Linked DNA regions of Macaca mulatta. The protein of the gene in region 7 interacts with the protein of the main gene of each other region in a pairwise test. Links are inferred from orthologs where the notes say so. Each region holds a gene or a part of one and is shown on either strand. Other genes may lie near its edges. The genes, in order: BCL2L2, CD79A, SEC22C, TIMMDC1, SYNDIG1, BNIP2 and FATE1.

Evidence for each region.
Region 1: the proteins of FATE1 (region 7) and BCL2L2 interact in binary tests that used the Homo sapiens proteins (3 or more experiments, as listed by UniProt). The two-hybrid records come from large-scale screens. The link is inferred for Macaca mulatta from reciprocal best matches to the Homo sapiens genes FATE1 and BCL2L2.
Region 2: the proteins of FATE1 (region 7) and CD79A interact in binary tests that used the Homo sapiens proteins (3 or more experiments, as listed by UniProt). The two-hybrid records come from large-scale screens. The link is inferred for Macaca mulatta from reciprocal best matches to the Homo sapiens genes FATE1 and CD79A.
Region 3: the proteins of FATE1 (region 7) and SEC22C interact in binary tests that used the Homo sapiens proteins (3 or more experiments, as listed by UniProt). The two-hybrid records come from large-scale screens. The link is inferred for Macaca mulatta from reciprocal best matches to the Homo sapiens genes FATE1 and SEC22C.
Region 4: the proteins of FATE1 (region 7) and TIMMDC1 interact in binary tests that used the Homo sapiens proteins (3 or more experiments, as listed by UniProt). The two-hybrid records come from large-scale screens. The link is inferred for Macaca mulatta from reciprocal best matches to the Homo sapiens genes FATE1 and TIMMDC1.
Region 5: the proteins of FATE1 (region 7) and SYNDIG1 interact in binary tests that used the Homo sapiens proteins (3 or more experiments, as listed by UniProt). The two-hybrid records come from large-scale screens. The link is inferred for Macaca mulatta from reciprocal best matches to the Homo sapiens genes FATE1 and SYNDIG1.
Region 6: the proteins of FATE1 (region 7) and BNIP2 interact in binary tests that used the Homo sapiens proteins (3 or more experiments, as listed by UniProt). The two-hybrid records come from large-scale screens. The link is inferred for Macaca mulatta from reciprocal best matches to the Homo sapiens genes FATE1 and BNIP2.

What each region holds. Positions count from the first base shown.
Region 1 is NC_133412.1:96,405,858-96,410,175, reverse strand, and holds the start of BCL2L2 (bcl-2-like protein 2), read right to left. Parts: upstream 2,809-4,318; 5' UTR 2,575-2,808; intron 2,460-2,574; 5' UTR 2,372-2,459; intron 1,891-2,371; 5' UTR 1,883-1,890; coding exon 1,451-1,882; intron 832-1,450; coding exon 682-831; 3' UTR 1-681. UniProt on the Homo sapiens protein: Promotes cell survival. Blocks dexamethasone-induced apoptosis. Mediates survival of postmitotic Sertoli cells by suppressing death-promoting activity of BAX.
Region 2 is NC_133424.1:52,914,623-52,919,058, reverse strand, and holds the start of CD79A (B-cell antigen receptor complex-associated protein alpha chain), read right to left. Parts: upstream 2,954-4,436; 5' UTR 2,733-2,953; coding exon 2,654-2,732; intron 219-2,653; coding exon 1-218. UniProt on the Homo sapiens protein: Required in cooperation with CD79B for initiation of the signal transduction cascade activated by binding of antigen to the B-cell antigen receptor complex (BCR) which leads to internalization of the complex, trafficking to late endosomes and antigen presentation.
Region 3 is NC_133407.1:105,947,100-105,951,476, reverse strand, and holds the start of SEC22C (vesicle-trafficking protein SEC22c), read left to right. Parts: upstream 1-1,499; 5' UTR 1,500-1,515; coding exon of another isoform or gene 1,516-1,573; 5' UTR 1,574-1,620; intron 1,621-1,801; exon of another isoform or gene 1,802-1,894; intron 1,895-4,377. Other genes in the region: NKTR (NK-tumor recognition protein), read right to left, coding at 1,516-1,573. UniProt on the Homo sapiens protein: May be involved in vesicle transport between the ER and the Golgi complex.
Region 4 is NC_133407.1:164,222,386-164,226,618, reverse strand, and holds the start of TIMMDC1 (complex I assembly factor TIMMDC1, mitochondrial), read left to right. Parts: upstream 1-1,267; 5' UTR 1,268-1,442; coding exon 1,443-1,636; intron 1,637-3,387; coding exon 3,388-3,553; intron 3,554-4,233.
Region 5 is NC_133415.1:59,587,036-59,590,789, reverse strand, and holds part of SYNDIG1 (synapse differentiation-inducing gene protein 1), read left to right. Parts: intron 1-713; exon of another isoform or gene 714-716; 5' UTR 717-791; coding exon 792-1,271; intron 1,272-3,754. UniProt on the Homo sapiens protein: May regulate AMPA receptor content at nascent synapses, and have a role in postsynaptic development and maturation.
Region 6 is NC_133412.1:36,997,363-37,001,116, forward strand, and holds part of BNIP2 (BCL2/adenovirus E1B 19 kDa protein-interacting protein 2), read right to left. Parts: intron 3,168-3,754; coding exon 2,991-3,167; intron 1-2,990.
Region 7 is NC_133426.1:157,958,286-157,960,843, forward strand, and holds the end of FATE1 (fetal and adult testis-expressed transcript protein), read left to right. Parts: intron 1-257; coding exon 258-364; intron 365-772; coding exon 773-851; intron 852-1,495; coding exon 1,496-1,627; 3' UTR 1,628-1,884; downstream 1,885-2,558. UniProt on the Homo sapiens protein: Involved in the regulation of endoplasmic reticulum (ER)-mitochondria coupling. Negatively regulates the ER-mitochondria distance and Ca(2+) transfer from ER to mitochondria possibly implicating it in the regulation of apoptosis.

The DNA.
Region 1 (4,318 bases), on a different chromosome or scaffold from region 7:
AGAAGCAGCAGAGCCCTCGGTCTGGATACAATGTTTCTCTCTAAGCCTTGAGGCATCAGGACAAGGGCAGGGGAAAGGAGGGGTTGGGAGGAGGGACAGAGAACTGCCCCTAGTTCTTGCCATTGCAAGAGGGAATGTTTTCTCCTTGAGGAATCCCACCACCACCAGATTTGCCAGGCAGCCCAGCATGCACACCAGCATGCGTGCACATGCACACGTGTGTCCAAGCAGCCCACTGTTACAGCCACCTCTCCCTATCACCTGAGAACCCCCAAGCTTCCATTCCAAAAGGATGTGCCTTCTGCGTTCCCCAAATCCCACTCATCTAATGGAATACAACTGCTTATGCAAGTCCACCTTCCTCAGGGCTGCAAACCAAGTTCCAGGTCATTTCATGTGCCCACACCTATAGGTGTGATCCCTCCCACATCCCCCAGCCCTGGATCGACTCCATCTCCTGCGTCCCTAAACTTGCCAAAACATTTCCCTCACCTATGTGTCCTGCTCACTCTTCCAATCGCCTACCTGGCCTACTCAGCTGCCTCACACACTACCCTTCCCCTGCCCATCCTGTTCCATGCCCACCCATCCACCAACTCCATTTCTTCCAAGGGCATTTCTCTGTTCTGTTCCTGCTCTCCTGGCCCCCAGCCACACCTAGCCCCACCTGGCCCTGGACTTTCACTTGCTAGCAAAAAAGGCCCCTACAGTTACCAGGGCCCCCAGTGCCACGGCCCCCGTCAGCACTGTCCTCACTGATGCCCAGTTCCCCTCCCGCAGACGCCGCGCCTCCTCCAGGGCCCCGTCCCCGTATAGAGCTGTGAACTCCGCCTGTGGGAGAGAAGGGAAGTAGGAGAGAAAGAAGGAGAAAGGGATATCAGGAGAGGAAAGAGTGGACAGAAGAGGAGAGGAAGAGTTCCAGTTCCATCCACTGCCAACACTACCCCATACCCAGCTCCTCTCTGGTCAAAGCTCTTCTGGCTGCAAGCCCCTCTGATCCCCCCAGGTGCACCCCCACCCTGAGAGACTGGTTCATTTGCCGCCCACTCTGCCTCCAGTGAATTCCATCCTTTCCTTGGCGAAAAATTCTGCTCAGAACTAGCATCCTTTGCCAAGGCTTGCCTGACCACCACCCATCCCTGGTCCTCCCCACCTCCCACACCATGACTCAGGTGCAAAAAGTCCCTGACAACATTCCCCTGCAGGCACTCCTTGGGTGTGGATTCTGTCCTCTGCTTGGGACCATGAGCCCATCCAGTGTTGACTGCATGGCAGCCCTGGAGTGCAGAGTCCAGGCATCTCTCAATCTGATTCCACCCAGACGGGGAGACTCAGCCCCGCACCTCATTCCCAACATAGCTGCCTCAGTCTCCAATCAGAGCTCCCATCTTCCCCCTGGAAACCAGCTTTGCAGAGGGATGTGCAGAGCGGCAATTGAGAAGCTTCTTACCCAGCCCCCACTGCTGTGGATCCAGTCAGCCAGCCGCGTCTCCAGGTAGGCCACCATCCACTCCTGCACTTGTCCCACCAGTGGTTCCATCTCCTTGTTGACACTCTCAGCACACAGTGCAGCCCCAAAGACAAAGAAGGCTACAAGGCGGCCCCAGTTGGGGCCCCCTTGGAAAAGTTCATCGGAGACCTGGGTGAAGCGTTGCTGTGCTGAGCCTGGGGTCACATGCAGCTGAGCCGCCAGATCAGAGAAGGTGCGCCGGAAGCGGGTCTCGAACTCATCTCCAGCTGCCCGCATGGCTTGGTGCAGCGGGTCAGCTGCTGGGCCCTCCCCGGGGCCAGCTCCACAGACATAACCCTTCTGCCTCAGCTTATAACCTACAAAGTCTGCCACCAGAGCCCGTGTGTCTGGGGCCGAGGCTGGGGTCGCCATCCGGGCAGCTATAAGAGGCAAGGATGAAACACTGGCATGAATATATGGAGAGAGAATCAGAAGGGGCATTTCTGGTTTGACCAACCCAGTGAGATGAGGAGGAGAGAAGAAATGCTCAGAGCTCACTGGACAGGGAGAGGCAAGAACAAGGGAATTAAGTCATGATATGAGACCAGGCTGTGAGGGGCTGGCCATTACATTCCTAATATGCCAAATTACATTTAAAACAAGTACATTTTCTGTTTAGAGATACTTTAGATTCTTTTCATAATAAGACAACGTCAGCTCTGTGACACCCCTACAACCCTCCCACCCCTGGGCCTCCTTAGTCCACACCTCCTTGGCTAGAGGAAGGGGCTTAGGACCTCCCCAAATGCAAGATATAAAGATGTTGGCAGAGGCACAAGATGAGGGGGAGCAGATGGGCCGAAGAGAAAGGTGGGAGACGCAATGGTTTACTCCAGACAGAGAAAGGAAGGAGACACTCACCCAGCCGGGATGGCAGCTCTTAAGACACAGCACTGGTGGCAAGGAGCCCCCAGCTGGGGCCTTTCATCCTCCCGGCCAGCGTGGAGCTCTGGAAAGGGGAGGGGGAGATCAGAACCAGGAGGGGAAGGCCAGGGATCAGGTTCTGGCCTGGGAACGGCTAGGGTTGCAGCTCTGGGCCTGGGCCCCTGCCCCCAACGCTCTACCAGCTGTGTGGCCGAATCCATGTTTAATGACTGTCCTCCCGGGAAACCCAGGGCCAAGGGCTTCCTGCCGACACCATCTGTATTCGCGGTTCCCCCTAGTGCAGCCCAAAGGCCCAACTCCTCCCTTACCCCCACCTCAGCCAGTCTCCAACCCCGCCCGCCTGCCAGGTTAGGGATCTCACGGGTCAGGCCGCTGCCGGGATCCGGGCCGTTTCCTGGTGCAGGAGCTGGGAGGGAGGGAGAGAGGGAGGAAGGGAGGGAAGGAAGGAGGGAGGAGAAAGGGGGGGCAGAGGGAGGGCCCGGCGCCGGGTGATGATGGGGCCCAAAGATGCGTCCAGAGAGAGGGGCGGGGCTGGGACGCAGGCCTGCGAAGGGCCACTACTCAGGAAGAGGGAGGGCTGCTGAAGGCAGTGAAGGGCTGCCTGAGAGGGCACGGTGGGCTGGGCTGGGCTGGGCTCCTGAGCCTCGAGGCTGCCCAGAGAAATATGCCGGACTTCAGGACATCTTGGGGCAAATTTAGCATTTCCAGGAGGTTTCCGATGTTCCATGCACTTGTTGAACTTTTCCAGCCCTGAATTGTGTGCCTGGAAAACAGGAGCAGTTCCCATTAAGCTGGGAACCGTCTACTAGGTGCCTTACCCTTTTGGGACTAGCAGACACTACACAGACACCAAACCTTTCCCATCTTTTCTCCAGGACCTTTAACCCAGTGTTGTCTTTGTGGGCTGGGCTTCAGCCAGGCATCAAGGAGCCAGGACTTGGATCACAAGCAGTTTCTTCCGGTACTTTTCTTTAATTCATCTTCTTTTGTAATCAGATTGATTTTAGTGGTTTTTTTTCTTTCTTTCTTTTCTTTTTTTTTTACCCAACACAGGAACTAATTCTCATTGTGAAAAAAATCAAACAATAAAGAGGTATGGAGTAATAAAATACAGGTTCTCAAACACACACACACATACACACCCAATTCCACTTCCCTCCCTGCAGGTTGCCATTGTTAAGCTTGATGTTTATCCTTCCAGATTACATATACATGGGGCCATTATTTATACATGGCAGTATATTTATACAGGGCGGGTCACAGGTGTGAAGCAATCTGACCACAGCTGATCCACATGAGAGCACTCACAGCCAGCCCCCTGGGCTCTTGGATCTGGCACTTTCTTCAGCTCCATTTAAAAAGCAACCCAACCAAAGGCCAGAAAGAGGCGACCCAGTTCTCCTCTTCTGCTAGTACCCTTTGCTTCTACCTCCAAACCAAGCCTCTGTATTACCATCTGCCCTTATGGTCACTTGAGAAGTAAGGTCTTTTCTGCAGCAATAATAGTAACAACTAGCTGGGTTTGGTGGCTCACACCTGTAATCCCAACACTTTCGGAGGCCAAGGCGGGTGGATCACTTGAGGCCAGGAGTTTGAGACCAGCCTGACCAACATGGCAAAACCGCATCTCTACTAAAAATACAAAAATTAGCCAGCCTGTAATCCCAGCTGCTCAGGAGGCTGAGGCATGAGAATCGCTTGAAACCAGGAGGCTGAGATCATGCCACTGCACTCCAGACTGGGTGATAGAACGAGACTCTATCTCAAAAAAAAAAAAAAAGTAAAAACATATTTTGAGGAGTTATTAGATGCTGTGCTTTTTTTACATGTATATTTTATCCTGTCACTAATCCTTATGCTGTTTTATCCTCATTCTATGAATGAGGAAATTGAGGTTTGGAGAGGTTAAGTGATTTGCCCAAA
Region 2 (4,436 bases), on a different chromosome or scaffold from region 7:
GTGGCTCTTGTTCACGTTCTGGATGGTCAGCGTACCATTGTAGCCCTGGCCCTTGCCCACGAACTGAGGGGGCCACGTGTAGTTGCCATGGAGGACGCGCCACCAGGTGACGTTGGCGTTGCTGCCATTGTGCAGGCATTGGAAGTGGGCCTCTTCCCCCAGGCTCACCATCAATGATGTTGGGCCCCCATCTACCCACAGGGCCTGGCACCCAGGACCTGTGGAGAGGCAGGGTGGGTGGGTCAGGGACTAGGGATGGCGACACATGCCCCCAGCCCTGGCCCCTGCAGCTCCAGCACTCCTGGGAAGAGGGTGAGGACATGCCTGGGTGAGGAGGGGAGGAGGGTGAGGACATGCCTGGGTGGGGGGGGAGGAGGGTGAGGACTCTCCTGGGTGGGGGGGGAGGAGGGTGAGGACTCTCCTGGGTGGGGGGGGAGGAGGGTGAGGACTCTCCTGGGTGGGGAGGGGAGGAGGGTGAGGACTCTCCTGGGTGGGGGGGAGGAGGGTGAGGACTCTCCTGGGTGGGGGGGAGGAGGGTGAGGACTATTCTGGGTGGGGAGGGGAGGAGGGTGAGAACTCTCCTGGGTGGGGGGGGAGGAGGGTGAGGACTCTCCTGGGTGGAGGGGGAGGAGGGTGAGGACTCTCCTGGGTGGGGGGGGAGGAGGATGAGGACTCTCCTGGGTGGGGGGGGAGGAGGGTGAGGACTCTCCTGGGTGGGGAGGGGAGGAGGGTGAGGACTCTCCTGGGTGGGGGGGAGGAGGGTGAGGACTATTCTGGGTGGGGAGGGGAGGAGGGTGAGAACTCTCCTGGGTGGGGGGGGAGGAGGGTGAGGACTCTCCTGGGTGGGGGGGAGGAGGGTGAGGACTATTCTGGGTGGGGAGGGGAGGAGGGTGAGAACTCTCCTGGGTGGGGGGGGAGGAGGGTGAGGACTCTCCTGAGTGGGGGGGAGGAGGGTGAGGACTATTCTGGGTGGGGAGGGGAGGAGGGTGAGAACTCTCCTGGGTTGGGGGGGAGGAGGGTGAGGACATGCCTGGGTGGGGAGGGGAGGAGGGTGAGAACTCTCCTGGGTGGGGGGGGGAGGAGGGTGAGGACTCTCCTGGGTGGGGGGGGGAGGAGGGTGAGGACTATTCTGGGTGGGGAGGGGAGGAGGGTGAGAACTCTCCTGGGTTGGGGGGGAGAGGGACAGCCCCTGACAGGGGCTGATGCATCCTGGGGAGAGGGGGATGCGGGAAAGTGAAGAGGCCCCTGGGGAGGGAGAGAGGACAGAACTGGTTGGGGTGGGTGAGGACATCCTGGGGGAGGAGAATGAGACTCCCTGGGATGGTGAGACCCCTGGGAGGCCCTTCTCACCTCTGCAGCGCCATCTCTTGCCCCCCTCCCACATACCCACTTTGTGCTCTGGGCCCTGTGAACTCTCTGGATTTTGGATGTTTGTTCAAGGCACTGGAGGACCGCTGTCCAGACAGCTCCTTCCAGAAGCAGTGCAGGCATCCCCTCCTCCCGCAGCCTTCCCGGTCTATTTTTGCACCCCAGCCTCAGCCAGGCCCTGCACCTTGCGCTTTTTCTTGTGTATTCATTCACAGAACCCTAGAAGTAGGTTATCTCCTTAGCCCCATTTTACAGGAGGGATGGCTGAGGCCCTGGGAGGGCTGGCGGTTTGCCAGCATCACCAGGCAGTCAGGAGTGGCACTGGGTTCAAACTCATGGCTCCCTGGCCTCTCCCTGCCTGGGCTGAGGAGCCAGTCTGTGGCCTGCCCTGGCCTGTGACCCTGTGCCTGGCCCTCATTCTCTGTAAGTTGTATGTGTCAACTCAGGGGTGAGTTCAGTCCTCGGGCTGGATTGCTGGTGAGCGAAGGGGGTCAGAGCGGGGTGGAGACTGGGGGTGTCTCTGAGTGAGACCGGGCTGCTCAGGCTGGCTGCAGTGTCCAATCTGGGCTCCTCTGGGAAGTCCCAGCTCTCAGCCAGGCCTCCCACATGGCCGGCCCCCTCTTCTGGAGGTAGGCGGAGGAGGGAAGTGAGGAAGAGAGAAGGAGGAAGAGGTGGGGAGAGGGGCCGAGCACCCTTATCATCATGGGCTTAAGACTCAGACGTGAGCTCCAATCCTTGCTCCCAGTGTCCGCTTGGGTGGGGAACCTTCTTCTCTGAACTCCTGGGTTAGCGTGGCCACAGCCCCTGCCAGCTGTCCTTGAGCGGGTGAGGAGGAATCTATGAGACATCTGTTCCCCCAGTGCTCAGAAGGGACTCCCAACACAGAGAGGCACCTGAGGTTTAAGGCAGATAAAGCTTTTTCTCCCCTTGACAGACGCTGAATGCTACTACCCTCAAGTCCCCTTCCTGTCCCCAGCCCTCGTGCTCAGTCAAGAGCAACTTTAGTTCCTTATTTTGGCCTGTGGGGAGCAGGAGGTGGGGGAGGTGACTCTTGCTCCTGCCTGCCTCCGTGAGGCTGTGGACGCCCCTTCTTCACTGGGCTCCCTCCAGCCCCACATTGGCCCAGCTTGGCACAGATACGATTTCTATAGGCATCTTCCCTGGCTCCCCTACCCTCTGCCTCCTCTTCCCCTTTCCCTGAGCCCCCTTCCCTCTGCCTGTGCCCACTCTGCAGCCTCCACATCTTCCCCCACCTCCCACCAGTTCCTGCCCTTTGGCCACATACCCAGGTAGGCAGCAGACAGCAGGAAGAAGAGGAAGATGGTGGCAGGCAGAGCTTGGAGGACTCCTGGACCCCCAGGCATCTTCTCCTAGTGGGTTGGTTAGTTTGAGTTGCAGCAGTCCCCGGGTACCAGATCCCTACCCCAAACCCCACCCTACTTCCTGCCCAGCCCCCCGGAGATGGGCTCCAGTGGCCCTCGCTGCTGGGCCCTTTACTTGTTGGGCCTGGGGACAGCCCCTGCCGGGTAGGCTTCAGGCTGTGAGTGGAGAGGAACTGCTCCCTGCACCTGTGGTGGCCACAATTCCCCTGAGAGGTGGCTGCTTGGGTGGGGGAAGAGGCTGGTTCAAGGGCTGGCTCGTCACTGCTGAGCCTTTGGAAGGAAGCCTAGGGAACCTGAGTCCTGGGCATGTGCTGTGGGCAGGTGATGGTTCTGAGCTTGACCTCTGCCCCTGCCTGGACTTGGGGAAACCTTGTCCCTTCCCTGACCCCATTTCCTTGCTTCTTGATTAGAAACAAGGACTTAAAAGGGGTTGTTGCATGCACAGAAATGGCCCATAGTAGGCGCTCAGTAAATGTTAGTCACTATAAATGCTCATGAAGAATAAATAAGGCAGGCTGACCTGTGGCTGAGTACCCGTGTGACTAGGTGGGCACTTTTATCCTTTGAACCTTGACATTTTTCATCTGTGAGATGAGGACCAGAATGTCTCCCTGTCTCATTATGTGATATGAGATGGTGTTTCTGGTATTCCAGGAGTTAGAGCCACGATCAGCTCTTTACTGGAATTCTTTGTTAAAAAACAGGCCAGGTATGGTGGCTCACGCTCAGGCCAGGTATGGTGGCGGGAGGTGGGGAGAGATGTGGAGGCTGCAGAGAGGGCACAGGCAGAGGGAAGGGGGCTCAGGGAAAGGGAAGAGGAGGCAGAGGGTAGGGGAGCCAGGAAAGATGCCTATAGAAATCGTATCTGTGCCAAGCTGGGCCAATGTGGGGCTGTAGGGAGCCCAGCGAAGGAGAAGGGGCGTCTACAGCCTCACGGAGGCAGGCAGGAGCAAGAGTCACTTTGAGAGGCTGAGGTGGGAGAATCACCTGAAGTCAAGAGTTTGAGACCAGCCTGGCCAACATGGTGAAACCCCATCTCTATTAAAAATACAAAAATTGGCCGGGCGCGGTGGCTCAAGCCTGTAATCCCAGCACTTTGGGAGGCCGAGACGGGCGGATCACGAGGTCAGGAGATCGAGACCATCCTGGCTAACACAGTGAAACCCCGTCTCTACTAAAAAATACAAAAAAAACCTAGCCGGGCGCGGTGGCGGGCGCCTGTAGTCCCAGCTACTCGGGAGGCTGAGGCAGGAGAATGGCGTGAACCCGGGAGACGGAGCTTGCAGTGAGCCGAGATCCGGCCACTGCACTCCAGCCTGGGCGACAGAGCGAGACTCCGTCTCCAGAAAAAAAAAAAAAAAAAAAAAAAAAAAAAAAAAATTAGCTGGATGTAGTGGCACATGCCTGTTATCCCAGCTACTCAGGAGGTTGAGGCAGGAGAATCAGTTGAACCCAGGAGGGGGAGGTTGCAGTGAGCTGAGATCACACCATTGCACTCCAGCCTGGGTGACAAGAGTGAAACTCCATCTCAAATAATAATAATAATAACATATATTTTTCTTCTTTTTTTTTTTAGAGAGATGGGATCTTGCTATATTGCCCAGGCTGGTCTTGAACTCCTGTCCTCAAGCAATCCTCCTGCCTCGGCTTCCCAAAGTGCTGGGATTACAGGCATGTGCCACTGCA
Region 3 (4,377 bases), on a different chromosome or scaffold from region 7:
ATTTTTAGGATTATCTCATTCCTTTGCTCAAAACTCTTTAATATCTTCCTACCTCACTGAGTCAGTCCTACAGGCCCTTTCTACTATTCTCTTCCCTCTTCTACTCCAGCCACACTGGGCACCTTGCTGTCCGTCAAACATGCAAGTACAGTCCTCTATTGTTTAATAACCAGGACGGATTCTGAGAAATGTGTAATTAGGCAATTTCATCATTGTGTGAACATCATGGAATGTACTTAAACGCACCTAGATGGTACGGCCTACTACACACCTAAGCTATATGGTCTATTTGCTCCTAGGCTACAAACCTGTACAGGATGTTACTCCACTGAATACCGTAGGCAACTTTAACACAATGAAGTATTTGTGTATGTAAACATAGGTAAACATTAAAAAGTTACACAAAAAAAAGTATTCTATATAAGACCACTGTTAAGAGACAGAAATGTCATTTGGCGCCTGACTGTATACTACTTCTCACCTCAGGGCTGTGCTGTTTCCCTCTACCACGAATGCTCTTCTTAAATATGGCTCACTTCATCTCTTTCTGATACCTGCTTAAATGTCATCTTCTCAAAATGGCCTTGTCTGACCAACTTATTAAAATAGTATCCCAACTGCAAGTCACTGTTTTCTTCCTAGTTGTCTGTCTTCCCCCCAATAGAATATAAACTATAAAAGGAAGAGTGGCCTTTGTTTTATGCGCTGCTCTATCTCCAGACCCTAGAACAGTAGCAGGTTCTCATAAGAATATGCAGAACAAGATGTTGCACAGTGTATATATATGCCTCCAATTAAAACTTCTGTCACAGATAACAAAAAAACCTAAGAAAACAGTTTGAAACCCTGCACGCTCTGCTACTTAGAATAAAGTAACTATGCTCTAGAAGGAAATGTTTCATTTTCAAAAAAATACACTTTAACAAATGGCTGGACTCCCAAAAGACAAAACAGTAACGCTAAGTGCATGCATGCTGCAATTCTGCTGATACAGAATGCTCTGGTTTATCACAAAGGACGTTCATTAAGCCATTTTCCCAGGAACCACGAAATTCTAGCTAAAGATTCTTAAGGAAAAATAGAGGCAGCGTTAACATTAAAGTAGTGATATATCGTGATTAGGAAACACACATTTCCTACTAGTTGAAACTTCATGGCACCAAGCAAGATAACCGGAAATCGGATCGGAAGTGTCTGCCCCACGGAGACACTGGGAGAGAAAAAGTCCTCAAAGAACTGCACCTCCTTTTCTTGGCGCCAGGCTGGCTACTAGGACTCAGTCCGGAGATGCAGGGGGCGGTGTGGGGTTTGGGAGGAAGAGGCCTGGACTGCGAGTTTGGGGTGTGCCCAGGCCACCTTCCTCTCCCACTGATTTTCTCTCAAGAGAAAATGGAAAGTTGACTGCGCCTCCTACCCGCTCCCAAAAAGGACGGGGGGAGGGTTACTGAGGGTAGACCCCTCCCCTTCGCCTAGGCAGGCCTCGGCCCCAGCAGCGCTCCCCAGTCTCCAGCTCACCCGGCTCCCGGTTGATCTCGATGTCGAAGTGGCACTGCGGCCGGTCCTGCGCCCCCATCGCGACCGAGGTGGCGGCAAGAGCTGGGAGAGAGGGGGAGGAAAGCGGTCAGGGCAGGGGCGAGGGCGGGGGCGAGGGCACGGGCGAGGGCGGGGCTGAGACGAAGTCCGCGCCACGGTGCCTCACGCCGGCCCGTCGCAACAGCGCAGGAGGCCAAGACGAGGCCCCCTCCCGCCCCAGGCCTCGCGGCTCCCACGCAGCGCGTACGCATGCGGGCGAGCTCTTCACCTGGCTGGCCTCCAGCCTGAGCGGGTCCCAGTGAGCAGAGGAGAAAGCACTGCCACTGCAGCCAGACCCCAACGCCGCTAACGGAACGCCACCTCCTCCTCCGGGCCCGGCCTCCCAAAGCCACGCTAAATCCCGCGAGAGTCGGGACAAATACCGCGAGAGTACAGTCTAGATGGGGGTGGTCAACCGGAGGTGGTGGCAGCGGGGGCGCACGCTCGGGGGCGTGTCTGGGGAGCTCTCGAGGAGCCTCCAGCCGGCGCTCCTATACCTGCGCGCTCCCTGTTTGCCCCCCCGCTTTGAAGTCAGTTGCCCAATGTGAAAGCCGTGGATGCGCCTGCGCCCTCCGTCTCGTCCGGCTGTGAGCGTCTGCGGCATTTTCGGATACCGCCAGACTTCCCTGTTTCTGAGCGCTGTGAAGGAGCTGAGTGAATTGAGGCTTTGAGTTTTCGTTAGCCAAGAGGTCGTGTCACTCTGTGTTCCTGTTGGCCGGGGATGGTTATGTCCGTGTCCTACTGTTAGGTCTTTTAGGCTGAGGAATGTGTTCCTTCCCGCTTTGGCACCAGCGTCACTGGCACCGTTTCTGTTCTGTGCTTACTGGCCATTCTGCATCTTTTCTGAAGTTTCAGTTCCAGTCTTTGCGCGTTTTTAAATCTGGTTCTTCGTGTTTAGCAGCTCTGGATACAAATGTTTTGTTAGATAGATATATGTATGTTCTGAATAAAAATCTTTTGTTACATAAATGATTGCGAAGTCTTTCTCCCAGTCTGGGCCTGTCGTTTCATTGTTTTGAGTATGTTTTTGGCAAAGTTGTTTTTAATTCTGGTGAAGTCAATCTTTTATGGTTTGTGCTTTTTCTGTGCTAGGAAATCTCTGCCTACCTCAAGTTCGTGAAGATATTCTGTGTTCTCATATATGTTTTACATAGTCTTTTACGTGTAAGTCTATGATCTAATAGCATTAATTTTTGCTTATGTTGTCAAGTGTCACATTTTCCTATCGGGATATACAGTCGTTCCATTACCATTTGTTGAAAAGACTCTTACACATTGAATTACCTTAGCCTTGTGACCAAATTTGTGTGGGTCTATTTCTGGATTTTTGTTCCAATGATCTGTGTATCAGTACCACACTATCGTTTAAGTTTTTTAACTATAAAATATACATTACATTACAGTTGCCATTTTAACCATTTTTAAGTGTACAGTTCACTGGCATTAATTGTATTTCACACGGTTGTGCGACCCTCAGTACCGACCATCCATCCACAGAACATTTTCCATCTTGCAAAACTGAAACTCTGTATCCATTAAACAGTAACTCCCCATTTCCCTCTTTTCCCAAGTTCCTGGCAGCCACCTTTCTACTTTCTCTCTGTAAATTTGTCTACTCTAGTATCTGCCTACTCATATTTGAGTAGAATCATACAATATTTGTTCTTTTAAGCTGGGCGCGGTGTCTTACTCCTGTAATCCCTGCATTCTGGGAGGCCTAGGCGAGTGGATCACCTGAGGTCAGGAGTTTGAGACCAGCCTGGCCAACATGATGAAACCTCATCTCTACTAAAAATACAAAAAATTAGCAGGACGTGGTGGCGGGCACCTGTAATCCCAGCTACTCAGGAGGCTGAGGCAGGAGAATCGCTTGAACCCAGAAGGTGGAGATTGCAGTGAGCCGGGATCATGCCACTGCACTCCAGCCTGGGCAACAAGAGTGAAACTCTGTCTCAAAAAAAAAAAAAATTGTTCTTTTGTAACTGGGTGATTTCACTTAGCATGTCTTCCATTTCATCCATGTTGTAGCATGTCAGAACTTCCTTTTTTGAGGCTGAATAATATTCCATTGTATGTATATATCATATTTTGTTTATCCATTCATGTGTCAGTGGATATTTAGATTGCTTCTACCTTCTGGCTATTGTAAATAGTGCTGTTATGAGCGTGGGTGTACAAATACCTCTTTGAAATCTGCTTTCAATTATTTTTTGTATATGCCCAGAAATGGAATCACTGGATCATAAACTAATTCTATTTAAGATTTGTCCAGGAATTACCATAGGTGAAAAAAAGGATGATAACCAATGCAGGTGTGCTATTAACCAGCTACCGCAGTTGCTGATTGGAACGTAATCCTGCTGGGGAACTCTGGGAACACATACAGAAGAAACATGTCAGGATTATCCCACCTGAGGATATCTCTTGAGAGTCCCTGGTTGAGAGATGCTCCTGGGGTGATAATCATTAGGTTCTTCTGGCCTGCTACACCTGGGCAAAGCAGATTTCCAGTTTTAGGAAAATATCCTCAAGAATAGAGATGCAATATGGACAGTTGGGATTCAGCTGGAGCACAGTTAGAGGAATAAAGTTCAGTTAAGTTAAAGTTCAATAAATGAAAGTGAAATGCTGATAGCTTCTGCCACAACTGGCAAGTCATTTTGTTGTTTGCAAACAAGGGAGTGCTTAGGAATGGAGAAACGCAGACGTTTTCTGACGTACGGGAAGCACTTGATAATTTCCGTGTGGAATTCCTGCAGCCTCCATGTCTGGATGATCATTCAGGCATTTCTGGGCTTGCATGGT
Region 4 (4,233 bases), on a different chromosome or scaffold from region 7:
GCCTACTTCTACCTAACATGAGATAAGCAGCAACCCAGAGCCAGAAGTCAGGGAATCTAAATTATTCATTCAACAAATATTTACTGAGCACCTACTACAGTTCTAGGTCCTGGAGATACAGAGATGAATATATGTGGTCTGTGACCTCAAGGATAGTTTATTGAGACGGATGAACAAATAGGAAATTATGATGCAGTGTCATAAGTGCCATGATGAGTGCTGAATCAAATATTGTATCCCAGAGTAGTCTTTGTAGCGCCGTCACTAATTCAGCTGGTCACTCTAGTCAGCCACTTCTCGGAGACTTGTGTATAGAATTTCCAGCTATCAAATTCCAGAAGTCTGTTTACTGTATTCTACTACAGTGTGGCAATTTTGATTTACAACTAGAAAGGAATAAAGGAGGTGAAGGGATTGGTAAAATGAATAAGGGAGCATGCTTGTTAAGGATTGAATGAAATTACACGAATACTGAAAATATTTTAAATGCATTCATTTTAATGAAAACTATACTTCGAAGCATGTTAGCAGAGGTTGTAGTGACGGCAAATTATACAAACACAGAAATTCCAGAAATTCTCCTGCCTTTTGAGAAGCAGTAGGCATATGAACTAAAGGGAGTGAAATCCACCTTATGAAGAGCTGCCAAAAAGCTGATTCTTCAAAAAAGTGTTCTCGAAATCTTGGTGTAACTGGCACCAAGACCCATCCCCTTTACCTGCACAAATCGCCTTTCCCTCTTTCCCTATTCCACTTGCACTGAATATTGCACTTTCTTCCTCACTGAAGCGGGATTCCTGGCTTTTTTTTTTTTTTTTTTTTTTTTGAGACGGATTTTCGCTCTTGTTGACCAGGCTGGAGTGCAGTGGTGTGATCTCGGCTCACTGCAACCTCCGCCTCCTGGGTTCAAGCGATTGTCCTGCCTCAGCCTCCCAAGTAGCTAGGATTACAGGCGCCCGCCACAATGCCCAGCTAATTCCTGGCATTTTAATTACGCTAAATTACTTCAACCTATGACCACCTCAAGCTGAATGTAACTAGCCGCAGACGCTGTTTGCATGACCCAGGAACCACTAAGACACGGAACGAACGCCTGCCGGCACCACGCAGAGCTTCACTACCCGCAGCGAACTCACTTCCGTGGTGGACTCAGCACAGCAGTGGCCCGACCCCCCCTCAACCGGAAGTCTTTTGGGCTCCGGCTTTGCCGTCGCCCGGCCCCCTGGCCTTTGCCCCGATTGGGCGGGACTTCCTGTGTCGTATTTCCAAGGACTCTAAAGCGAGGCCCAGGACTGAAGGCGTTGGTGTCGAGCCCTCTGGCAGAGGGTTATCCTGGGCCAAATGCACGGATTCTCACCTCGTACAGTTACGCTCTCCCGCGGCACGTCCGGGAGGACTTGAAGTCTTGAAGGCTCAATTTGTCCGTAGGTCGAGAGAAGGACATGGAGGTGCCGCCACCGGCACCGCGGAGCTTTCTCTGTAGAGCCTTGTGTCCATTTCCCCGAGTCTTTGCTGCCGAAGCTGTGACTGCAGATTCGGAAGCCCTTGCGGAGCGTCAGAAGCGGCCTCTCTACGTCCCAGAGCCCTATTACCCGCAATCTGGATGGGACCGCCTCCAGGAGCTGTTTGCCAAAGAGTAAAAGTGCCTGGGGTCTGAAGTGGGTAGGGGGACGCGAAAGCGATGTCCTGCAGCGTTGGCAGCCTGGGTCAGCCTTAGGACGCCAAGTGTGCTTCATTTTTAAATTATATTTAAAGGTTCTGATATTTGTAACCCAAACTTGTATCTTTTTTTTTTTTTTTTTTTTTTTTCCAGACAGGGTCTTGCTCTGTCGCCCAGGCTGGAGTGCTCTGGTGCGATCTCGGCTCACTGCAACCTCTGCCTCTCGAACTCGAGTGATCCTCCCACTTCAGCCTCCCGATTAATTGGGACTACAGGCGCGCGCCACCACGCCCGGCTAATTTTTTTAAAATATATTTTTTATAGACAGGGTTCTTACCATACTGCCCAGGCTGGTCTTGAACTCTTGGACTTAGGTGATCCTCCTACCTCAGCCTCCCAAAGTGCTGGGATTACAGGCGTGAGCCACCGCACCAGCCCAAACTCGTATTTTTTTTTTTTTTTGAGACTGAGCCGTGCTCTATCGCCCAGGCTGGAGTGCAGTGGTGCGATCTTTGGCTCACTGCACCCTCCACCTCCGGGGTTCAAGCGGTTCTCCTGCCTCAGCCTCCCGAGTAGTTGGGATTACAGTTGCCCACTACCATGTCCAGCTAATTTTTGTATTTTTAGTGGAGACGGGATTTCACCATTCAGCAGGCTGGTCTCTAATTCCTGACCTCACGTGATCTGCCTGCTTTCGCCTCCCAAAGTGCTGGGATTACAGGCGTGTGCCACCGTTGTTGGACTGAGCCCGGCCTAGAAGGGAAATTATTTTATAGTAACTTAATACTTAAGACAGCTATTTGTTAGAGCAGTTTCAGGATGACATCTTGGAAGCTTCATTAGCAGTTCTAGCTTCTTATGCGTTTAAGAGTAACAAACTGAATTAAATAGTAGCTTTTCCTTATTATTTTAGATTAGCATGTGCCACCCACTGCATAGTGAACTTTCTCAGTGCGTTTTTTAAAAAACATATATTTATTTGTTTATTTTTAGAGCCAGGATCTTTGCTACGTTGCTATGCTGTCCAGAACTGGGCTCAAGTCCTGCCTCAGCCTCCTAAGTAGCTGTGACTACAAGCATGTGCCACTGTGCCCAGCCCAGTGCTTTTATTAATACAGTCCTATCTGAGTATTTCATGAAATTATTTAGTAAAATAGAATTTAGATTTTTTGTCTTAACGTCCACGTTTTTTTTTTCTTTGATACATTGCCCTAAAATCTCACGAGTTGGTGTGATTTCTTAAAGTTAGCTTAAGATTTAAACGGAAATATTGGTCTATCTAACTCACAAATTCTTCCTGTTTCTAGGGGTGTAATAGTCATCAAATAAAAGCACCTTTTAAAAAACTTTTTATTGAAGTAGGAAATGCGTTTCAAAAAATGTACATAAGTAGACTGATGAATGCATTTTCACAGACTGAACATAGCTGTACCCAACACTCAGAAGGAAACGGCAACTATTATCACATCCCAAAAGCTCCCTTTGTGCCTTTTCCAGTCATTGTCTTTTCAGGAGTTGCCACTATCCTAATTCTAACAGCATAGCTTCGTTTTGTCTGAGACTTACGTTCCTTTTAATATAACTGAACTGTTTAATTCATCTGCGGATTCTACCTATGATGAAAAATGTTGTGGTGTTAGCATTCGGGATAATTCTGATTATAGATTCTTTTGGAGAGCAATGTCCATAAACTAATCCCAAACAACATTGTCTTTTTGATGTTGTAGTGAACAGCAGAGAATTTCAAAGGAACTTGCTGATATCTGTAAGATGGCAGCTACAGCAGGCGTCCTCGGCTGGGTGTATGGGGGTATACCAGCTTTCATTCATGCTAAACAACGTTACATTGAGCAGAGCCAGGCAGAAATTTATCATAACCGGTTTGATGCTGTGGTATGTACTGGTGGTCTAAAGAAATTTAGGGCACACTGACTTAGCAATTCACTTTACACTTAATCATTCAATTAGCTTGTGGGGATGGAGGGTTGTTTTAAAGTGTCAGAGTAAAGAAATAAAGTCTATACTTAATAACAGTGGAAGTACTAACATTAAAGTGCCTGCATGTGGCTTGAGACTACTTTCTTATCTTCAGAACAGACATGTTTGGCATCACCACTGTGGCTTTTCTTTCTGAAATATCTTTCTTCCAATCCCCTGCTAAATCATCAAGGCTCAACTGTAACATATTTACCTCATTCACAAAGCCTCCCTGAGTATAGGAGCTTACACTAAGACAATAGTTAACATTTATAACTTTATAGAGTGCTAACTCATTTGTTACATCATTAGATCTGTACATCAGTTCTATGAGAATATTAAAGCTCAGAGAATTTTTAACTTTTTATTTTGAAATTATGGCAGGCTTGAAAGTTGCAAAAATAGTACAAAGATTTCCTATATAACTTTCATCCAGATATTCCACTGTTAACATTTTACCGTATTTTATCATTCTTCCTCTGTATAATATGTACTAATTTTTTCTGAACTACTTGACAGTAGGTTCTAGACATGATGAATACTTCAGTATGTATTTCCTAAAAACAAGGAAATTCTCTTATACAACCACGATTATA
Region 5 (3,754 bases), on a different chromosome or scaffold from region 7:
TGTAGCCCAGCACCTCCTCAGCTTTAATGTGCAGACTCATCAGCTAGGATCATGTTAAAATGCAGATTCTGATTTAGTAGATGCAGGTGCTACTCAAGATTCTGCATTTCCAACAAGCTCCCAGCTGGTGCTGATGCTGCCGGTTCTCAGCAAATTCTGAGTGGCAAACTGTAGAGAGCACCCTAAGAGACCAAGCTGTGCCTATCTCAAGATGCCTCAGTAGCAGATTCGTGTTTGGGACTTGACACCTCAAGATCATCACTAAGTAGGGATTATTGCAATCACATAATTTCCTGCTTGAATGAATAGCCATGTACCTGGGAAGAGCTAATCCCCATTACAGATTTGCAGTTCTGTTTTCCTATGGACTTGTCGGATGCTAATGTGATTGGGTTTACCCGTGGGTTTCAGGATGTCTGCTAGCAATCAAAGGTTCCTCTAGGCTGCAAGGGAGCCAGCTCCTGCAGTCTCCTTCATTTGGAAGCAGAGACTTTATAGAGATTCAGGTAATCAGTTTCTGCTACCTCTGGCTAGCCACCCCGACAGATCCTTTTTAACATTCACTGAATAGGTAGGACTGCATTTTGTCTAACTCTCACAGTTACTATGCATTTATCAGCTGATTGGTACAGTCTGAAACAATGTGGGTCTGGGTGATTAGCTTGTTTTTAAGTGTGATTCTCTTGTCTCATCTCTGTTTTCTCCTCCTCCAGGAGAAATGGGTTCCCTGAGACAAGTGTGACCTACGTGCCCAGCCCGCCAGCCTGACGCCTAGCCAGAGAGAGAGGACCATGGATGGCATCATTGAACAGAAGAGCATGCTGGTGCACAGTAAAATCAGTGATGCTGGCAAGAGGAATGGCTTAATTAACACCAGAAACTTGATGGCCGAGAGCAGAGATGGTCTGGTGTCTGTTTACCCAGCGCCCCAGTACCAGAGCCACCGGGTGGGGGCCAGCACAGTGCCGGCCAGCCTGGACAGCAGCAGGAGTGAGCCGGTGCAGCAGCTGCTGGACCCCAACACCCTGCAGCAGTCGGTGGAGTCCCGCTACAGGCCCAACATCATCCTCTATTCAGAGGGTGTGCTGCGTTCCTGGGGGGATGGTGTGACCACCGACTGCTGCGAGACCACCTTCATCGAGGACCGATCGCCCACCAAAGACAGCCTCGAGTACCCCGATGGGAAGTTCATCGACCTCTCAGCTGATGACATAAAAATCCATACCCTGTCCTACGATGTGGAGGAGGAGGAGGAGTTCCAGGAGCTGGAGGTTAGAGGATGTGTTTGTCAGAGGCCCTCTAGGAATGTGTGATGGGGATTCTAGGGTGGGCAGGAGCCATGAATGCCTATACACTGTAGCCCAGAAATTAGGGAATGAAACTAGTGTGCAAAAATGCAGAAACCAAAGGCAGTCTTGGTGCCCTTCACTCTTGAATGCTTGTGGAAGATAGAAGGAGAGGAAAGACTTAGATTAACAGAAAGCCAGTGATTCTGGTATGAGATGACCCCAGGTAATGGCTGTCAGATGGGGCTGCAGAAGGCAGTGCTGGTGGGTTCATCAGTTTTCCCTGCTGTCCCTCATCCCATGAGACAGAGAGGTCATTGACAAGAGGAGGGAGGAATGCTTGATCCCAGAGCCACATGAGGCTGGAAATGTATTGGATGGGAGACACTTTGGGAGGTGTTTCTGCTGTCACCTGTGGTTCCTTGACTTTGCATTCCACAGTTACTACTGAGAGATTGTTGATAGAGCTGAACCACGCTGGAAGAAAGTGTAGGTACTGATAGCCTAAAGGGAAGATAAGCTGACTTTTTTAGAGGACTGGAGGGCAGGTGACAGCATTTGAATTACACGCACAGAGATGTGCACATTGCACATTGGATATAGCATGGTAGGCACAGTGGTTGCTGGGTATGTGGCACACTGGCCCCCTAGGGCAGCACTGGGTGACAGGGTGAGAGCAGCGGCTACAGGCCATGGACTAGTGGTTTGCTGCCCATGCGCTCCCAGACTTTCCGCTGCAGTGAGGCCAAGGATGTTTTCCCAGGACGCGATGTCAGGGAGACTTGGGCCAGGTTTTCCGTCAGTTTGGTGGGGGAGGAAACCGCCGAACAGGTCCGACCTTCAGAGGCAGTGTGTGGCCAAAGGGGGAAGGAAGGGATGTCTGTTTTTCACTAAGGTAGGTGAGAACATTTTTGTAAGTAGAGAGGAAATGTTCAGAATGGAAAATTCAGGATCGCGGCCGGCGGCTGGGGAGTGGTCTTGGGGAGGCAGGAGCTGTACTCCAAGCATGTATGTGTGAGAGATGGCCTCTCAGAAGAAGTCCACGTGCTGGCCTGGGAGAGAAGAGAAGGGTGGGGTAAGGGAAACTTTCAAGCGCTCTAGGTTGAAGAGGAAGGAAAGGAGGGGTTCGTGTTGGCTGAGTATCAGCAAGCCAGAGAAGCTCTTGGGGTGTGTTGGGGTGTGGGGAGATTGCAGACAGTCTAGAGCAGTGATCTGGGGGAAGTGCCCATTCTAGAAAAGACTTCTGGAGAAACTGCCCAGTTGCAGTATGAGTTCGTGTGAAGATCTGGTCAGACCCAGGGCTCCGTGACTTTCTCCAGCCGTGTGGGACCATCTTTAGCAGGTGAGGCTCTCTTGGCAAGGTGTACTCTGCCTGGAAGGTGGAGGAGGCAGGAGAAAGCAAGAGGGAGGAAGTTTGGAGCCGAATCAGACCCACAACCATGGGACCCACGCTTGATAGAAAGGCCGGAGAAATTGCAAGGGAGTGGCAGGTCAAGGAGACCAGAGGATCAGGATTGGAGACCTCAGTGAGAACTAGGAGCCAAGAGATCCGGCTTTAGTCAGGAGGGAGGATCAGCAATGGAGAGGGAAACTTCGGTGCAGCCCCAGCCAGTGGAGCCTGGGAAGCCCACTGGCAGGGAGTGGAGAGTCGTAGCATGGAAGAGGACCAAGATGTGATGCCTGGGCATCTGCGGAGGTCCTAATGCCCTCTGGTGACCCCTGTAAAGGGAGGGTGCTCATGATGCAGCTGTGGAAAGTTGGGAGCATGCTTGGCTTCTGTTCAGAAGCCTCTGTCCCTGTCTACTGTTTTGCAAGATCTGAGGGCTTTGCTGACAGCGAAATATAAATAAATACTGCCCAACCCGCATGGAGTGGAATTAGGGAAGCGAATGCACGAAAACGCAGCCCCAGGAGTTATGGGAACGGAATACCCCATCAGCTCTGAAGAGGGGCTAGGGCCCTGAGCTCAATGCAGGGTTCAGAAGTCATCACACAGGCAGGAGCCCTCCCCCGGCTATATCTTGAGGATGAGTAAGAGGAGGCTTGAGGGGAGCTGGCAGAGAAATTCCAGTCCAAGAGGACCTGGGGAGCACAGAGGCAGCAGCTCCAGAGATCTGCAGGGAAGAGGAACTGGTCAGAAATGCGGAGGCCTATGGGAAAGACGGGGAGGAGACAGGTTGGAGAGGGAGGGGGTTCCCATCAGCAAGGACCTTATCAGCCACCTAAGGGAGACTGGATTTATGCAGAGTCACAAACTCAGATACGTGTGAGACAGAAGGGACCCACCAAAGAGTCAAGAAGGAGCCCTGGGAGGGGGGGGCCTGGAGCCTGGAGAGCCAGGCCCCACCCAGAGCATCTGTCCCCTCTGCTTCAGGGTCACTGCTGTGCCCCACCACACAGGCCGTGTTGCTGGGAAGCCTGAATAGATTTGTTAGAGTAACCAAGAGCCAGAATGCACCAACATTTAA
Region 6 (3,754 bases), on a different chromosome or scaffold from region 7:
GCCCGGGCAACAGAGCAAGACTTGGGTCTCAAAAAAAAAAAAGAAAACCAAAAACTAAATTACATCTCTGACATAATTTTCAGTAATGGAAAACAGCGCTAAAATACCTATGTTTCAACTGCTTTCTTTAGATATTAAGCCCATATTTAGTAGCAAATACTTCTGCTTTAACCTTCATTTCTATTGTTTACAAATTTGCATTTGAAAAGATTTGAACATTTCAAGAACATCAGAATCTTCACTACCTTTCTTAATCACTCAGTCACAAAATATATTAAGTGTGATAATGCAGTAAGATAAGGTGGTCTTATTTTCCCCTATAAAAAAGTGCTATTTCTGAAAGAGATTGAAGCCATAAATCAGGCCTTATAATTTGATTCCAGTGAACTAGCTGAATAATATACGTCTGTGGACTTCCTGATCCAGATTATGCCATTTTCTTCATCTGAGTATGATTAAATTAGGCAGAAGAATGCAACTACAAATATTCATGTGATTTGCTTTCAGATGAATGAAGACTGTAGAAATAAGCAGGGGAATGCATCTGGCATTAAAGTAAGTGGTAAATTAAGTGGAAATGACTCCGAAAAAAAATCAATCTGCTTGACCCATGTGCCACTCTGTCCTGTGTTAGGAGGATTTAAGGTAGTGTGACATGCTCTACAGTGAGTTGTGTTCTGACTTGCCACTAACATTCTAGCACTATTTACAATGTGCCTAGGTAAACTTCTATATATGGTACTGTTAGATTCACAGGATTTGTAACTTAAACTTTTATAGCTTTTCCTGTTTCTTAAGGGAAGGGACTTAAGCCTTGTATTTTTGTATATCCCATAAGTATGGAAAGTGGGTACTCTATAAAAATGTGGAGTGAATGAGCTCTCTATTAAAAAATAATTTGGGCTGGGCGCTGTGGCTCATGCCTGTAATCCAGGCAATTTGGGAGGCTGAGGCGGGTGGATCACAAGGTCAGGAGTTCAAGACCGGCCTGGCCAATATGGTGAAACCCCATCTCTACTAAAAATACAAAAATTAGCCGGGCATGGTGGTGCGTGCCTGTAGTCCCACCTACTTGGCAGGCTGAGGCTGGTGTATTGCTTGAGCCTAGGAGGCAGAGGTTGCAGTGAGCCAAGATTGCGCCACTGCACTCCAGCCTGGGTGACAGAGCGAGACTCCGTCTCAAAAAACAAAACAAAACAAAAAAATTAAAAAAAGGAAAAAAAAAATTTGTTCAGGATTTTAAGGCACATTAAGAGTTAAGGTTAAAAAGTCTAAGTTTTAGGGCTGGGCACAGGGGCTCAAGCCTGTAATCCTAGCACTTTGGGAGGCTGAGGTGGGCAAATCATGAGGTCAGGTGATCAAGACCATACTGGCTAATACGGTGAAACACTTTCTCTACTAAAAATATAAAAAATTAGCTCGGGTGGTGGCATACGCCTGTAATCCCAACTACTCGGGAGGCTGAAGCAGGAGAATCCCTTGAACCAGGGAGGCAGAAGTTGTAGCGAGCTAAGATCACGCCACCGCACTCCAGCCTGGGTGATGAGCAAGAGTCCATCTCAAAAACAAAAAAAAAGTCCAAGTTTTACTTATATCCATAAATGACTTCTAAAAGAATGCTCAAAGCGGTTTTGTTTATAATAGCCCAAGCTGGAAACAACTCACATGCACATCAAAAAAAAAAAGAATGGATAAGCAAATTATGGTTTATCCATGCAATGGAAAACTACTCCCCAATAAGAAGGAATGTAATGTGGATACATCAACGACATGGATGAATCTCCAAAACTTCATACTGAAAAGTAAACAAAAGAGTGTACAGGATGATTTCAGTTACTACATATGAAATTCTAGAACAGGTAAAACTAATCAGGCGGTAGATATGACAGTGGCTACCAAGGTGAGGATTCACTGGGCAGGGGTATTAAAGAATTATTCTGGGACAATGAAAATGTTCTATATGTTTAGGGGTGTGGGTTATATATATGGGAATATACAGTTATATGGGCATTTGTCAAAACTCATTGAATTGTACACTTAAGATCAGGGCATTTCACTGTTTATAAATTATGGAGAAAGTACAGTCCCAGTTTTGGGTAGCCTAGAGACAGCTAAAAAAAAATTTCTTTTTAAAATTTTGAGACAGGGTCAAAAAACAAAAAACAAAACAAAACAAAACAAAAAACTGGAGTGCAGTGGCATGATCACGGCTCACTGAAGCCTCAACTTCCCAAGCTCGAGCTCTCTCTCCTCCCACCCCAGCCTCCTAAGTAGCTGAGACTACAGGCGTACACCACCATTCCTGGCTTTTTTTTTTTTTTTTTTTTTTGGTGGAGACAAGGTCTATGTTGCCCAGGCTGGTCTTAAACCCCGGGGCTCAAGTAATCCTCCTGCCTCAGCCTCCCAAATTGCTGGGATTACAGACCTGAGCCACCATGCCCAACCTGACAGTTTTCACTACAAATTCTTTTGTACTTTTTCAACTTAGTGTAGGTATATAATCATTTTTAAATGGTACTTTTGGCTGGGCGCAGTGGCTCACGCCTGTAATCCCAGCACTTTGGGAGGCTGAGGCGGGTGGATCACAAAGTCAGGAGATCAAGACCAGCCTGGCTAACACGGTGAAAACTCGCCTCTACTAAAAATACAAAAAAATTAGCTGGGCTTGGTGGTGGGCACCTGTAGTCCCAGCTACGCGGGAGGCTGAGGCAGGAGAATGGTGTGAACCCAGGAGGCGGAGCTTGCAGTGAGCCAAGATCACGCCATTGCACTCCAGCCTGGGCCACAGAGCGAGACTCCATCTCAAAAGCAAAAAGAGAAAAAAATGGTACTTTTCTTCTTTTACTTCAAACCTATCATGTTTCTAAAATGATATGATAAATGCTTATTATTCTTTCAAAATTACGTAATATCTCTAGGCAGAGTTTCTAAAACTATTGAGAATTCTGATACCACATTAAACAATTTGAAAAATGTTCAGTAACTCTTACCCCCATGGCTGATAACTTTTTTATAGGGTTCAATTGCCTTCATATCAACTCTGTGGTCCTGTTCTCCAATCCTGAACATACGCCAGCGTCGTCCATCTTCTTTTTCCTCTGCTGCTGTATATTCAGCAATTGAGCCTTTCCTAATTACTTCAGTAGTCTTGGGTTTTGGAAGATCATCTGTCAAAATAAAAAGTTTTTCAATCACCAATTGTTACACAATAAAAATCAAATTATACGTTAACCACTTTACTATCTAGATTTTACAGAGAATTTTCATTATACCATCTGTGCAATTTTAAATATCTCTTCCATAATGCAGGAAAAGGCTTATTCTTAACATGAGGCCATTTTATGTCTTTGGAAATCATGGTTAACTTTTTTTATTGCCCAATTTAGCAAAAACCACCTAATCATAGTGGTTTATATCATATATCCACAAGTTCAGAAAATATAATTCATAGAGTCATCAAAATCTTAGTACATGTGCCTTACAATGCCTTTCCAGATTCAACTTGTGACAATATTCTCCCTGGCAGTTATGACTATAGGTTACTTCAAGTAGCTATCTGGGAGCCAATTTTGTTGTTGTTGAGCACATAAATTAACTGTAATACCAGATAGGAAGTGGTTAACTACTCAGTGATCACTTCTCATTTGATCAGTTTTATAAAGCAGAAATGTATGTATAATATTTTGAAGTATACATGCAGAAGTCTATTTAAATTAGCATTAGCCAAAGCATAAGCACCAATGATTAAGTGTAA
Region 7 (2,558 bases):
CCTGTCACTGCTCTTCTTTTGCCACAGCCTGCCTGGATGACCAAGAGCTACCGAGGAGCATGGTGCGGGTGGGGTGGTGGCCAGCAGCCTGTGTGGAGTTCCCAAGCTTTCCTAGAGGCCTGAAGCTGCCAGCCCTTGATTCCAGAGACCAGGCACCATGTGACTCCCCATGGGGTGCACCATTGGTTCTGGGCAAACTGGGGAAGCCACTCACGTGGGGCTGGGCAGGCTACTTTACTGATCATTCCTTTCTTCAGGGGTCCCAGCTGCCAATGCCCAGAATGCTGAGAGAATCAGGCCATGGGGATGCCCATCTCCAGGAGTACCCTGGCAATTTCCAAGGCATGCGTTTCCATTATGATCGGTAAGAGCTGAGGGTCTGTGGGCCCTGGCTGCTCAGACAGGGCCCAGAGTGGGGCGGAGGGGCTGGTGAGCAGCTTGGCCAGGACGGAGTCATGAGGGCCTGGAATGCCTCCCTGTCAGAGACCATGAGCACCCTGGCTCCCTGCCCATTTGGGGCATCCCAGTGCTCTGTGGGCTAGCCGAGTTGGGCTGGGCCAGGCTGGGCCAGGCTGGCTCAGGCTAGCTCAGGCTGACTCCCAGTCCTCAAGGCCCTAGGCCCTCTTTACCATGGGAGAGGACTGGAGGCTCATAGTCACTGTCCAAGAAGTTCCTGACCTTACCTGCTTGACCTCATTGCCTTCTTGTGCTCACTGCCAGGTCCTGCCGGGGCCACCAGCAGCTTTGACCCTCTGTCTTTTTTCTCTCCCAGCAACCCAGGTACAGATGCAGTGGCACAGACTAGCCTGGAAGAGCTCAATGTACTGGAGATGGAAGTCATGAGAAGACAGGTGAGGAGGGACCCAATTGGTGGGTGCAAGCAGAATCACAATGCCTTGGAGTAGTCAGGGCTCAACATCTGGGGTCTTGTAGCCCCTTACAGTCATCTTTCCCTTTAGCGCTGGAGGTAGGGCAGATTCCCTTCCTTTTCCTCCTCATCCCCATGGCTCTGACCCAGGTAGATGTCCAATCTCAAACCTACTGCTGTCCCTGAGATGCTGGCAGGGAATAGGGGCCGATAAAAGGTAAAGGAAGAGGGAACATACAAGGATAAGTGTTCTATGTCCAGAGAGAGAGTGATACCCAACAGTCTGAGAGAGGGGTCGCCTTTGTTCAAATCAAACCCAGACCTTCTCAGGAGGAGACCCTTCCTCCCTTGGCCCCCCGGAGCAGCTGGAATGGGCTGGCCTCTTCCAGAGAATGGAAGTGAGCATCAAGGGAGAAGGCAGAAGTAGCGACTGCAGACGCAGCAGCCAAGTCTTTGGTCCAGCGGACCTGGCCCAGCCCCCTGCTTCTCACTAGGGGCACTCCCCGCTCCACCGCCAAAGGGCAATCAAGCCCCTTCTTGCTTTAACTTTATGCTTTTCCGATGGCTGAGCTGTGGGCTTCTGGAGAAGAGCCTGGCTCAGTAGTCCTCCCTTTGGCTCCTCTGCAGCTATATGCAGTCAACCGGCGTCTGCGCGCCCTGGAGGAGCAGGGCGCCACCTGGCGCCAGAGGGAGACCCTGATCATCGCCGTGCTGGTGTCAGCCAGCATAGCCAACCTGTGGCTGTGGATGAACCAGTGATCGCCCCCGCGCGGCCTCCGTATTGGAGCCCTCCCTGCTTCCCCTTCTTTCTTTCCTCTTTCCCTGGGCCGCCATTGCCCATCCCCCTTTTATCTCCCAGCAGCCCTCAGGCAGCGTCAGGGTCATTTTCAGCTCTGGTTAGGCCTCCTACCTGGGGAGGTCAGGTCACTGCATTGGGAGGTCCTGGCTGCTGCGAAGGTGGAGGAGGACTGCATGGGCTGAGATGCCATCCTTTGAAGGGTGAAGAGCATGGCGGCATCTGGACGCCACAGTAACACCTAGTGGCAACCTTGCCTTCCTGACCTCAGCGGCCCTTCTGTTCCATCCTCTGTGGGCAGGGGTGTGGCTTTGTTTTCCTCCCTCGTTTGCTTCCACCTCGTGCACAACGCTCTGCGCAAACATCATGCTCAATAAAAGTTCCGCCATAGCAGCAAAACTCTGTGGCTGAGGTTCCTGTGTCCAGCACTCATTTGGGGCAACAGTGGGGTTGGGGTGCACTGAGGAACAACAGCGCCTCTTCACAAAGACCTTGTGGCTGGGACTGAGCCTCTGCCATTGCCCCAGGTGCCCTGGTTTCCTCCTCCCTTTCACCTTCCCCGCCTCACTGTCCCCAGCCCCAGCTTTGCAAAGTTCTTCCTGTTGGGCTGATGCAAATGGGTGCTTGTGGGTGTGTGGTTCTGGGAGCATGTCTGGACTGTGTTGCAGGGATGCAATCAGAGGAAATCTCCTGAAAGGGACCAGAAACATTCTCATTTGCACAAGAGGAAATTGAATTCCAGAGGGAGGAAACATGTACCTGGGTCATCCAGCGAGACAGGGCCTGGGTGTGAGTTCTGTGGTTTGAGTTTTCCTGAGTCCTACGCTAGGGTTTGGCCTGCCTCCTGCAGACAGACTCACTAGAGATGAGGTCCTGCCTCAGCTCTGCAGGCTG